3 linked regions of the Callithrix jacchus genome follow. Each later gene encodes a partner of the first gene's protein in a complex. Links are inferred from orthologs where the notes say so. Each region holds a gene or a part of one and is shown on either strand. Other genes may lie near its edges.

Region 1 (3,512 bases):
CAAAAGGACAAATAGTGTATGATTTCACTTATATGAGGTACTACAAATAGGCAGATTCATAGAGACTGAAAGTAAAATAGTGGTTACCAAAGGCTGCAGGAAAGAAGAGAATGAGGAGTTATTGTTTAATGAGTACAGAGTTTTCATTTGAGATGCTGAATACAGGGTTTTTGTTTGAGATGATGAAAAAACGTTCTGGAAATGGATGGTGTTGATGGTTGCACAACATTGTGAATGCTCTTAGTACTATGGAATTATATACTGTCAAGTGGTTAATACAGTAATATAATTATATTACATATTTTATGTATACATATATTCAGCAATTAACGTTTTCAACATTTTCTTATGGCATTATCAGCCTAAAGTATTGTGAGAAAAATATACGCTACAAAGCCACAACCATTTGGTTGTGTTTTTCCAATAATAAAGTGGATTTTTATTAGGAGCTTAATAGCTGATTTTCATTGGAAAGGAACACTGAAGAATCTAATGTTTAGCACCTGAAACTTCTGTTTTTTCCTCAAATATGTTAAGCATCAATTCACATGATAAATCACCTATTTTAGTAAATTGAGCAAGTTAATTGACAAAAAACAGAATATATGTGTTTTCATATATTTCTGACTTTTGTCACCCAGGCTGAACTGCAGTGGCACAGTCATGGCTCAGTGCACCCTCAAAACCCTGGGCTCAAGCAGTCCTCTCACCTTAACCTCCTAACTAGCTAAGACTACAGGATCGTGCCACCATACCTGGATAATTGGTTTTTGTTTTTTTTTTTTTTTTTTTTGTAGAGACAGGGGTCTCACTATGTTGCCTAGGCTGTTCTCAGTGATCCTCTTGCCACCACCTCCCAAAGTGTTGGGATTATAGGTGTGAGCCGCCATGCCCAGATGTGTTTTAACTTTCAGTCTTTCAGCTTAGAAATTGGGAAACTACATAGCATTCTTTGTGAAGTTTTGCCAACTGTTTTTTATTCTCCACAGAATACATCCTTTCCTATGTAAATACAATTGAAATTTTTTATTCATAAAAATTTTATATTGATCAAATTTACAATAAAAACATAGCAGAAAAATGTTTTGGAAATGGATAGTGGTGATGGTTGCACAACATTTTCAATGTATTTAGTACCACTGAAAATGCTTTAAAAAGGGGCCAGACACAGTGGCTCCCACCTGGAATCCCAGCACTTTGGAGGTCGAGGCAGGCAGATCACCTGAAGTCAGGAGTTCAAGACCAGCCTGGCCAATGTGGTGTGAAACCCTGTGTGTACTAAAAATACAAAAGAAATTATCTGGGCGGTGTGCATGCCTGTAGTCCCAGCTGCTTGAGAGACTGAGGCAGGAGAATCTCTTTAACCCGGGAGGCAGAGATTGCAGTGAGCTGAGATTGCACCAATGCACTCCAGCCTGGGTGACACAGTGAGACTCCATCTCAAAAACAAAAACAAACAAACAGAAAATTGTTAAAAGAGTAAATTTTATATCATGTGTATTTTGGCACTGTTAAGAGAAAAAGACGATGTAGAAGCTAATCTTTGATATGAGCCAGGAAAAGGTTCACTTCCCTTTTTAGCTAAAACTACATACTTTAAAAATGTGCTTCAAATTTTAGTTCATGTTGGAATAAATAAAGAGAATTGTCTGAAACATTTTGTTTTGGAATTTGCCATGACTCAGTGTTGCAAACTGTTTTCTGACTTGATTATTGATTCCTCCCTAACTGCAGTGTGTAATGCATCTTGAAGACCGGTTGCAGGAGCTATACTTCAAAAGTAAAATGCTGTCTGAATACCTGAGGGGGCAGATGCGTGTTCATGTCAAGGAGCTGGGAGTGGTTCTGGGGTATGTTAATGGTTTCTTCTCTGGCTTTGCTTTCATTGCTCTGTCATCAGGTAAGGAATGTTGCTCAGAATTGCCCTTTTTCTTTTAAGTATCTTTTTCTATGAGAAGCTGGAGGCTGTTATCATTTAGGTTGCCCTGTACCATATAATAGCAGATTTCCTGTCATCCACAAATCTGAAAGGCATTATCCCTTCTTTGTGCCATTACATATAGTAGGTTGAGAATATAGTCAGAATGAATTAAAATCTGAATTTTTGTGTCAGAAAAAATAAGTACATACTCATTTTATTTTTTAAATATGTTGAAAACTCTTTTTTCCCAAGTATGTATCCTGCCTTCCAAATGATGTAACAGAAGTCTGTGAATGATAATATGTTATCTACATATTACTCCTCCTTCCCATTAACTATATATTATATCTGTCTACTCTGCATTTTTCTGTGGCAGAAAAGTTAACAAAAATGCTTACTGAAAGAGCAATGGGAAGTTGGTAGGGAGCATTGTATGGCCCTATTTCATTATGTTCTGTGGTCACTTTTCCTCTGTTCTTTGGCCACTTTAGGCGTGTTCGTGTGATTCATTTCTTGAAATCCCATTAAAGAAAGTAAAACAAGCCAGAACTTTTATCTAGTTTGGCTTTTATGATGGGAAAAGAAACCAACATCACTGAGAACCTACTGTATGTCAGAAACCCAAATTAAAAATTTATTAGTGTTATTTCTTAATTCGTATTATCATCCTACAGTGTGTAGGCAGTGTCATCCAGGTTGGAAACAGATGATTCTGTCAGTTAACATGCCACATGTCACACACTGGTAGGACTGACAGGGATTTGAATGACTCTGTATCTTTGTTACTTTAGACCCTCTTTATATTCTGTAGCACCACACTCTTGATCAAGTCCTGATGAAGATTTTTACTTGAGTTATACAGAGAAAATTGTTTTCCAATATTTGGAAAATCAGTAACAGGATATAATCTTGTATATCTGGGGAGTGAGTGAGTGTGTGTGTGTGTGTGTGTGTGTATGTGTGTGTTTAATGCCTTTATGTAAAAATATTTAAGATAAGATTTAAAACTAACGTACATATAACCAAAATGCACAGTATATTTTGGCAGACAATGAAAAGTAGGTCATTGTCTTCTTTCCCCCAACTTCCAACCCCTATTCAGATGCTGTTAACAGATTGTTTTATAGAATTTTTAAATGAATATTTTTTAAAAATCTATGTTGGTTTATGCTCTTATGTTGTTGTACAACTTTTAATATATCTTGACTATTCATATAAGCACATACTAATCAATGTCATTCTTCCTAATGGCTGTCTAGCATTCCATTATATTTTGGAACTTAGATTGTTTTTAGTTTTTTGCTACTATAAACCAATGCTAGACTGAATATCAATCTTTGACGTTTGTAGGATAAATTCATTGAAATAGAATTTTTGGTTAAAGGGCCTGTATTGATAGTTTGATAGATTATACTGAATACTCTCCAGAAAGTTTCAATATGAATTCCCACAAACAGTAATAGGCACTCTACTCACTACTGGCTCTTACCAAATTTGATCTTTTCCAAGGTACTAGCTAAAAAATGGCACCTGATTTTATCCAAATTTCTCTAACCATGAGGGATCTGATTACTACTGTCTATGTTGATTG
Region 2 (4,196 bases), on another chromosome or scaffold:
AAATTAGTCAGGCATGGTGGTGGGCCCCTATAATTCCAGATACTCAGGAGGCTGAGGCAGGAGAATAGCTTGAACCTGGGAAGTGGAGGTTGCAGTGAGCCGAGACTGTGTCACTGCACTCCAGCCTGGGCAACAGAGCAAGACTCCATCTCTGTAAAAAAAAAAAAAATCACGAGTAAGAGGCCTCAGGGCCAAAAACCCTAGCTTACCCACTTATTTAACCTCCGTGTCTAAGTTTCTCTTTTTAATTTTTTTTTTTTTTGAGACAGAATCTTGCTCTTGTTGCCAGTCTGGAGTACAACAGCACGATCTTGGCTCACTGCAACCTCTGCCTCCCAGGTTCAAGCGATTCTCCTGCCTCAGTCTCCTGAGTAGCTGGGATTACTGGCACCTGCCACAACGAGCCTAATTTTTTTTTTGTATTTTTAGTAGAGATGGGTTTTCACCATGTTGGCCAGGCTAGCCTGGAACTCCTGACTTCAGGTGATCCACTTGTCCCCACCCCCACCTCCCAAAAGTGCTGGGATTACAGGTATGAGCCATGGCATCTGGCCTTTTTAAATTTAAAAAACAATAAAATAGAGATGGGGGAGGTCTCACTGTGTTGCACAGGCTGGTCTTGAACTCCTGGGCTCAAGTGATCTGCCCACCATGGCCTCCCGACCTCCCAAAGTGCTGGGATTACAGGTATGAGCCACAGCATCTGGCCTTTAAAAATTTTAAAAACATATATATAAAATAGAGATGGGGGGTGGTTTCACTGTGTTGCACAGGCTGGTCTTGAACTCCTGGGCTCAGTGATCTGCCTGCCTTGGCCTCCCAAACTGCTGGGATTACAGATGTGAGCCACTGCGCCTGGCCCCTCCACTTCTTTTTCTACCTCACAGGGTTGTTTTAAGGAATAAAAGAGTTAGTATATGTAAAGGACTTACAATGGTGCTTGGTATATAACAAAAGCTCAATAAATGTAATTCTAATGATTACCATTATTAAATAACAACCTAGTGAAGAAAATGAAGCCCTAAAAGGTAGTTTTTGGTCCACGTTCATACTGCCAGCAAATCAAAAAGTAAGGGACTGAGCCCAGGTATGTCCAACACTGAAACCCCATTTTACTGCCTATTCACTTCTTGTTTAGTGTAGTTGAGCTTAAAAATAGGACACCATCCACTCTGCGGGGTTGCTGTGAAAATTAAAGGCAGTGTATTTAGAACCTAGCAGTCTCAGCATATGGCATACATTCAATAAATGGTTAACAGCTGTCATTCTCTCAAGTCCTTTCTAGACTTCATTTAACATGATTCAAATACCATTTTTAGTAAAGACAACTACTTAGTGCTATAGAACAGCAGGGAACATCCTCCTTCATAAATACCAACTGAAACTTTCAATTTTCTGATACTGTTATTTGGAGATAATCTCTACTCTCAGAAACTCAGAAAGAACCGGCAAGGTAACAGAACATAAAAGCTAGAAAACAAAACCACGCTAGGCTCCAAGTCAACAGCAGATGCTACGGAATTCATCACACGGCATGAGAGATACTTACAACCCAGATTAAGTCCTTGTGAATCTGTGCACAGGACTCCAACAATGGAGGGATTCTTCATTCTAATTTCAGGAACACAGAGAGTTGAAGCAGATAATGGGAGAAAAAGGATTTGAGCATACACGTGCTCTATGTACCAGACATTAAGTGCTTTAAATCAATGTTTCTCAATCTTTTTTCATTATCACACTCTAAGAAAAAAATTATTCTAATTAATTAATTTAAATAAACCAGTTTTTTCTCTCATGAGAGAGAAAAAACTGCTAAGTACTGTTGAGTTTTGGAGGGCCACAAACACTGCAATATCTAGGATGTTTTCACTCTTGTTAAAAATGCATGCTTTAGTACTAACTCATTTAAAACTGTTGAAAACCTCTTAAATCGCCTCCTGGAGGGTAAATGGAAGCTGAGGGACATCGTTGGGAGGCCAGGTGTCTCTGTACCCTTTATACTTTTCCAGTTTCGAATTTTACATAAATACTGCTTGTTCGAAAAATTTAAAGGATGACTTTGATCTACGTAAGTACCAAGTAACTGACAGGATACACACAGGAGATAAATGTTTGTTTACACTGCAGGGCTTGACTGTGCACAACTGGCACAACCTTCCCCAAAGTTAACCCCTTTCCTAAACCTCCCGCAGAACAACCCTGACCGTAAAGACGATTTCAACAACGAGATAAGCAGTTTTGGCCGTAGCCTGAGCCCAGGAGACTCGCTCAAGAGGGGATGTGCGGTGCCCGGCAGAATTTTAATTCCGGGTCACCAGTCCCGCCCTGCGGCCCTCGGGTAGGGCTCAGCTCCCTCATCCCTTGTCCTGGGGGTAGCGCGACGTCCCCGAGACGCCCTGGCAGGCACTCGCAGCTCGCGCCTTTTGTCCCGCTCAAGTTCCTCCGCCGCGACTTCAGGACGGGCCGAAGAGGCGCGCACTACTCACGTGTCTTCCAAGTGCTGCTCCAAGGTCGCCTCCATCCCACCCACCGTCCACCCCGGCCCAGAACCCAGCGGCACGCCGCGTCCGACTCCACCACAGGCCTCAGTCACTTGACGCGAGCGGGGCGTGGACCGGAACGGCGCCTCCAAAGGGACAAAATTGATCACGGCGCAACGTCCGCGTTTTTTACTGGAAAACATCACTGCGCTTCCGCCGCACAGAGCCTGGCGAAGGTGACAGTCGGTGACCCGCGCGTGGCTCCCCAGCGGAATGATTTCCCTCTCAGGAGCGAGGTCTGTAGCCGAGCTTCAGTGCCTCAGTTCCTGGCCTGGCATTTTGTGTCAGTGTTTTTTAACCTCTGGACTCTGATTCAACCGACTCTGAGACCTAGGGGCCAGACGTTCTGTTTTACAGTAACCCAGGGGTCAGACAGGGCCTGATCTAGCCTGTGGGGCAGGTACGAAGGGGACCTCTGGGAGCGGGTCCATAGGCTTGTAGGGGGAAAGACTCAGAGGACTAAAGGACTAGAGGGAGCGAGGTTCAACCCCCAGCTGTGTTGGCAAAGTGTTGGGATTTTAGCGAAGACACTGGTGCTTATTATGGTGAGGGGACTCAGGTCAGTTTAGGGAAAGAGAGTGGCATCTGAGTCCTAACTTGTAAGGAAGACTAGGTAGGACTACTTAAAAATTACTTTAAAAAATTAATTATAGGCCGGGCGCTGTGGCTCACGCCTGTAATCCCAACTCTTAGGGAGGCAGAGGCGGGAGGCTAGCTTGAGCCCAGGAGTTCGAGATCTGCCTGGGCAATATAGCGAGACCCCGTTCTCCACAAAAAGGAAAAAAACAAAAAGACAAAAATAATTAATTATAAAAGTGATAAAAATAGAAAACACTTATGGTCCCACTGTCCAAAGATGACTTTTAATCCCTTTGAGAGTATCCTTTCAGATAGTGGTCTTTGCAAATGGACACTTTTAATGTTTTTTTGTTTGCCTTTTTAAAATAACTTTTTTGGGGACAGGATCTTGCTCTGTCACACAGGCCAGAGTGCACTGGCATGATTATAGCTCATTGCAACCCTGACGTCCAGAGTTCAAGCTATCCTCCCCTCTTAGCCTCTTGACTGGCTAGGGCCACAGCCTTGAGCCACCATGGCTGGCTAATTTTTACATTTTTTTGTAGAGATGGGGGTCTTGCTGTGTTATCCAGGCTGGTCTCAAACTCCTTGCCTCAAAAGATCCTCCCACTGCAGCTTCCCAAAATGTGATTACAGGCTGACTCACCATATCCATGTTTTTTTTTTCTTTTGTAAGCAAAATTGACATATATATTGGAGGTACAATTCTGTATCTGGCCTTCTTCACAGAGTTTAGAATAAATGTCTTTCCATGTCAAGTTTTCACTTACGTCCTTCGTAATAGTTGCAGAATATTCCATTTATAGCTGTATCCTAATTGTGGATTAAGGCTGGAGTGCAGTGGCGTTATCATGGCTTAGTGCAGCGATGCTGTCATGGATTAGTGCAGCCTCAACCTTCTAGGTTCAAGGACTCATCCCACCTCAGCCTCGCCTCCCAAGAATCTAGGACTACGGGCACACACCACTACACCTAGATAATTTAAAAAAAAAAATTGTGCAGATGGGGTCTCTGTGTAGCCCTGACCCTCCCGCCTTGGCCTCCCAAAGGGCTGAGATTGCAGGTGAGCCACTGTAC
Region 3 (3,978 bases), on another chromosome or scaffold:
ACGGTGACCCGAATGGGGGGCCTCGTCTCGGCCCCGCTCGGCTCCGCCATGCCGCCGCCGCCGCCACCCGGCCGCCCGCCAGCCCGTCCAGCTCCTCCTCCTCCCCGCCCGCCCGGCCAGCCCGGCTCGGCTCCAGCGCCTCCAACACTCCCCTCTCTCCACCTCTCCCCTTCCTCCCCTCCTCTCTCCTCCCCTCCCCGAGGCTTCACCGCCCCCTCCGGACCAGCCGCAGCCACAGCGCCCCGGGCGGACCGGGGGGGCCACTGCAGCGGGTTCCGCCCAGGGCCGAGCCCCGGGTCCGGAGCCAGGCCCGGGGCTCGCCAGGCTGGGGCCCCTGGGGGGCGCTCTGGGCATGGGGAGGGGCGTGCCCTTCACTGCGGGGGCGGGGACGGACTCCTCGGGGAGACAGAGGCCCAACGCTGCCCGCCAGAGCCGTGCCGCGGTCCCTTCCAGCCCAAAGCTTCCCCGCCCCCTCCGCGTCTAACTCCGCTCCGGGACAAAGGACTTTCTGTGTCGCCGCTTTATCTCCATTCCCTGTAATAACTTGGTCTTTCTTGGAAGCCCAAAGTCCTTTCCAGGCCAGGGGCCTTTCCCGACCTGGAGGTTGGGTTTTCCCACCAAGTTAAGTCCTTAGGATCTTAGCTCTGGGACTGACCCTATAGCTCCGAGGGTCACGGCCTAACTGGTCTATTAAGAATGGTTCCAGGGAGTTGGGTTTTGGCTGCGTGGCCTTTCTGAGCCTTGGTTTTCTCAAGATAATAGTAACAGTTCCCCTCGCCTCATCGCACAAAATTGTGCATAACGGAGAAAACTGTTTTGAAAGTAACCAAAGGCATGCCTGACAAATATAAGGATGTAGTCTAATTATTGAATCGTGGACTGCCAAGCGGACACGTTGACTCCTTTCTCCCCGAAGGAGTTAAATGTCCTTCCAGTGCTGCCACTGTCCTTCCACTCCCGCTCTTTTTGCCCCCCGCAACCGCGTGGTCAGCCTGGAAAGGCGAACTATAGTTCCCAGGGTGCCTCGCGAGGCCACAAGGAACTACGATTCCCAGAGCCGCCCGCGGCGGGGTGGGGAGTTGAGTCGGAACTACAATAACCAGGCGAGGAAACTACAACTCCCAGGGCGTTTGGAAGCAGGCCACGGGACTACGGGAAGCAGAAGTCAGCGGCTCGCGGGAGGCACCTCGGAGGATCTGGGTGCAAAAGCCCAGGGTTAGAAGCCGTAGGCATGTTGCGCCCCAAGGCTTTAACCCAGGTGCTAAGCCAAGCCAACACTGGAGGAGTCCAGAGCACCCTGTGAGTGCGGACCACGGACCCGAGCGGCCAGCCCCGTAGTTGGGCTGCGCGCGGCTCCCTGAGGGAGGGGTGGGGAAGGATCGCCGGGAAGGGAGGAGGCGGCAGAGCGGGCAGCGGCTGGGAGTGCTGGCCAGTAGATACCCTCTCGAAAAGGGAAGCCGGTGTGCTGGGTGCTTAGGGCGCGTTCCAGGACACACTAAGCCCAGACCCTTGCTGGCTGTGCTAGTGGTGGGACTTGGGCTGGAAACCCAGGCGTTTTACTCTCTGTCCTGGGCACAACGTTATCCTTCCCCGCCCCTCACCAGGCTGCTGAATAACGAGGGATCACTGCTGGCCTACTCGGGTTACGGGGACACTGACGCTCGGGTCACTGCGGCCATAGCCAGTAACATCTGGGCCGCCTACGACCGGAATGGGAACCAAGCGTTTAATGAAGACAATCTCAAATTCATCCTCATGGACTGCATGGTATGGAGAGGGAAGCCAGACTTCCCCTGCCCCCCAAGGGGATCCCAAGGGGGTGACCCGGACCCCATCCTGGATGGTTGGAGGGGCAGGGACAGTGTCTCCGGAAGATTACTAAGAGTTGGTCTGCAGCAGCATTCGTAATAGGCAGGACCCTATTCATCAAATGGTGGTGAGGAAGGAGCCCTGGACCTGAGAGGTCTGACTTGGGTTCTGGTTTCAGCCATCCACTTATCAGTTGTGGAACCTTGGGTAAGTCGCCTAACCTCTCTCAGCTTCCTTACCTCATGTCTAAGGAGGAAGCAGCTATTTCCCTTTTCCCGCTCCCCTCCTGGATGGTTGTGAAGATCGGATGAAATAATGGGTATAAACAGTAGAACGATGTGCAAACACGAAGTGTTGTCATCCCAGCCTCGCCGACTCACAGAACCATGGTGGTCTCCAGACCCTAGTCCAACCCCTCACGGTTACAAACAAGGGAAAATGAAGTCCAGAAAGGGGAAGTTGCCGTTAGCTTGTGAACCTCTTAGTATCTGTTTAGTCAATAAGTATTTAGGTCCTTGTAGTGTTCTCAGGACTAGGGAAAAAAATAGCAAACAGAAAGGCAAAACCCCCAGCCCTAATAAATCTTAACAGTGATACAATAATGGCTCACTGCAGCCTCGACCTCCCTGGGCTCAGGTGATCTTCCTGTCTCAGCCTCTTAAGTAGCTGGAAGTACAAGCATCCACTACCACACCTCCCTAATTTTTGCATTTTTTGCAGAGATTGGGTTTTGCCATGTTGCCCGGGCTGGTCTCGATCTCTTGGCTCAAGTGATCCACCTGCCTCAGCCTCCCAAAGTGCTGGGATTACAGGCATGAGCCACTGTGCCCGGCCACATTATTTAAAATAAGTAAAATATGTAGTATGTTAGGTATTGAAAATGCAATGTAAGGCCGGGCGCAGTGGCTCACGCCTGTAATCCCAGCACTTTGGGAGGCTGAGGCAGGTGGATCTCGAGGTCAAGAGATCGAGACCATCCTGGTCAAAGAGGTGAAACCCTGTGTCTACTAAAAATACAAAAATTAGCTGGGCATGGTAGCGCGCGCCTGTAGTCCCAGCTACTTGGGAGGCTGAGGTAGGAGAATTGCTTGAACTCAGGAGGCGGAGGCTGCGGTGAGCCGAGATCGTGCCATTGCACTCCAGTCTGGGTAACAATAGCGAAACTCCGTATCAAAAAAAAAAAAAAAAGAAAAGAAAATGCAATGTAAAGAAAGGAGGGAAGTGAAAGTATGAGTTTGTTGGGTGTATGTGTCAGAGACAGTCTCACTGAAAAGGTGACATTTGATCAAAGATCTGAAGAAAGGTCATGGCAAGCCATGTGGCTATCTAGGGGAAGAATATTTTGGACAGAACAGCAAGCACGAAGGCCTTGAGGCAGAATTGTGCCTGCCCAAGGATCAACAGAGTTGGTTGGTATGGCTGGAGCTGCATGAAAATGAATGGAGGGTGGTAGGAGATGGTGTCAGAGAGGCAGAGAGTGCAGTGCTTGGTTTCCCGCGTAGAATGAATACCTAGTAAAAATTTGTTGAACTTACTTTTTTTTTTTTCCATATCGGCCAGAGGGTGAACTCTCTAGGAAGGGTCTTCATTGTAACCCAGCTGCTATTCTCTTCTGCCACCTGCACAACCAATGCTATTTTAGTTCAACATATGACGCTTAGTGAATGCCTAGAGCTGGTGCTATAGCTTTCAAACGTTTTGACCACAACCAAGCCATAAGAAATACATTTTAAGGGGCCAGGCACTGTGGCTCACGCCTGTAATCCCAACACTTTGGGAAGGCGAGGCAGGCAGATCATGAGGTCAGGAGTTTGAGACCAGCCTGTCCAACCTGGTGAAACCCCATTTCTACTAAAAATACAAAAATTAGACCGGGTGCAGTGGCCCACACCTGTAATTCCAGCACTCTGGGAGGCCGACACTGGCAGATCACCTGAGGTCAGGAATTCAAGACCAGCCTGGCTAACATGGTGGAACCCCATTTCTACTAAAAATACAAAAAATTAGCCAGGTGTAGTGGCATGCGCCTGTAATCCCAGCTACTCAGGAGGCTGAGGCAGGAGAATCACTTGAACCTGGGAGGTGGAAGTTGCAGTGAGCCAAGATCACACCATTGCACTCTAGCTTGGGCAACAAGAGTGAAACTCAATCTAAAATATATCTATATAT

What was found. Proteins that work in one complex are often made in the same cells at the same time.
Region 2: FNIP1 (region 1) and LAMTOR5 share a complex: the UniProt entries of both Homo sapiens proteins name them as parts of the lysosomal folliculin complex. The link is inferred for Callithrix jacchus from reciprocal best matches to the Homo sapiens genes FNIP1 and LAMTOR5.
Region 3: FNIP1 (region 1) and LAMTOR2 share a complex: the UniProt entries of both Homo sapiens proteins name them as parts of the lysosomal folliculin complex. The link is inferred for Callithrix jacchus from reciprocal best matches to the Homo sapiens genes FNIP1 and LAMTOR2.

The regions. Positions count from the first base shown.
Region 1 is NC_133503.1:77,027,104-77,030,615, forward strand, and holds part of FNIP1 (folliculin-interacting protein 1), read left to right. Parts: intron 1-1,734; coding exon 1,735-1,850; intron 1,851-3,512. UniProt on the Homo sapiens protein: Binding partner of the GTPase-activating protein FLCN: involved in the cellular response to amino acid availability by regulating the non-canonical mTORC1 signaling cascade controlling the MiT/TFE factors TFEB and TFE3.
Region 2 is NC_133508.1:148,257,658-148,261,853, forward strand, and holds the start of LAMTOR5 (ragulator complex protein LAMTOR5), read right to left. Parts: upstream 2,809-4,196; 5' UTR 2,684-2,808; coding exon 2,487-2,683; intron 1,612-2,486; coding exon 1,550-1,611; intron 1-1,549. UniProt on the Homo sapiens protein: As part of the Ragulator complex it is involved in amino acid sensing and activation of mTORC1, a signaling complex promoting cell growth in response to growth factors, energy levels, and amino acids.
Region 3 is NC_133519.1:16,441,557-16,445,534, forward strand, and holds the start of LAMTOR2 (ragulator complex protein LAMTOR2), read left to right. Parts: upstream 1-1,170; 5' UTR 1,171-1,231; coding exon 1,232-1,299; intron 1,300-1,604; coding exon 1,605-1,767; intron 1,768-3,978. Other genes in the region: UBQLN4 (ubiquilin-4), read right to left, coding at 1-354. UniProt on the Homo sapiens protein: As part of the Ragulator complex it is involved in amino acid sensing and activation of mTORC1, a signaling complex promoting cell growth in response to growth factors, energy levels, and amino acids.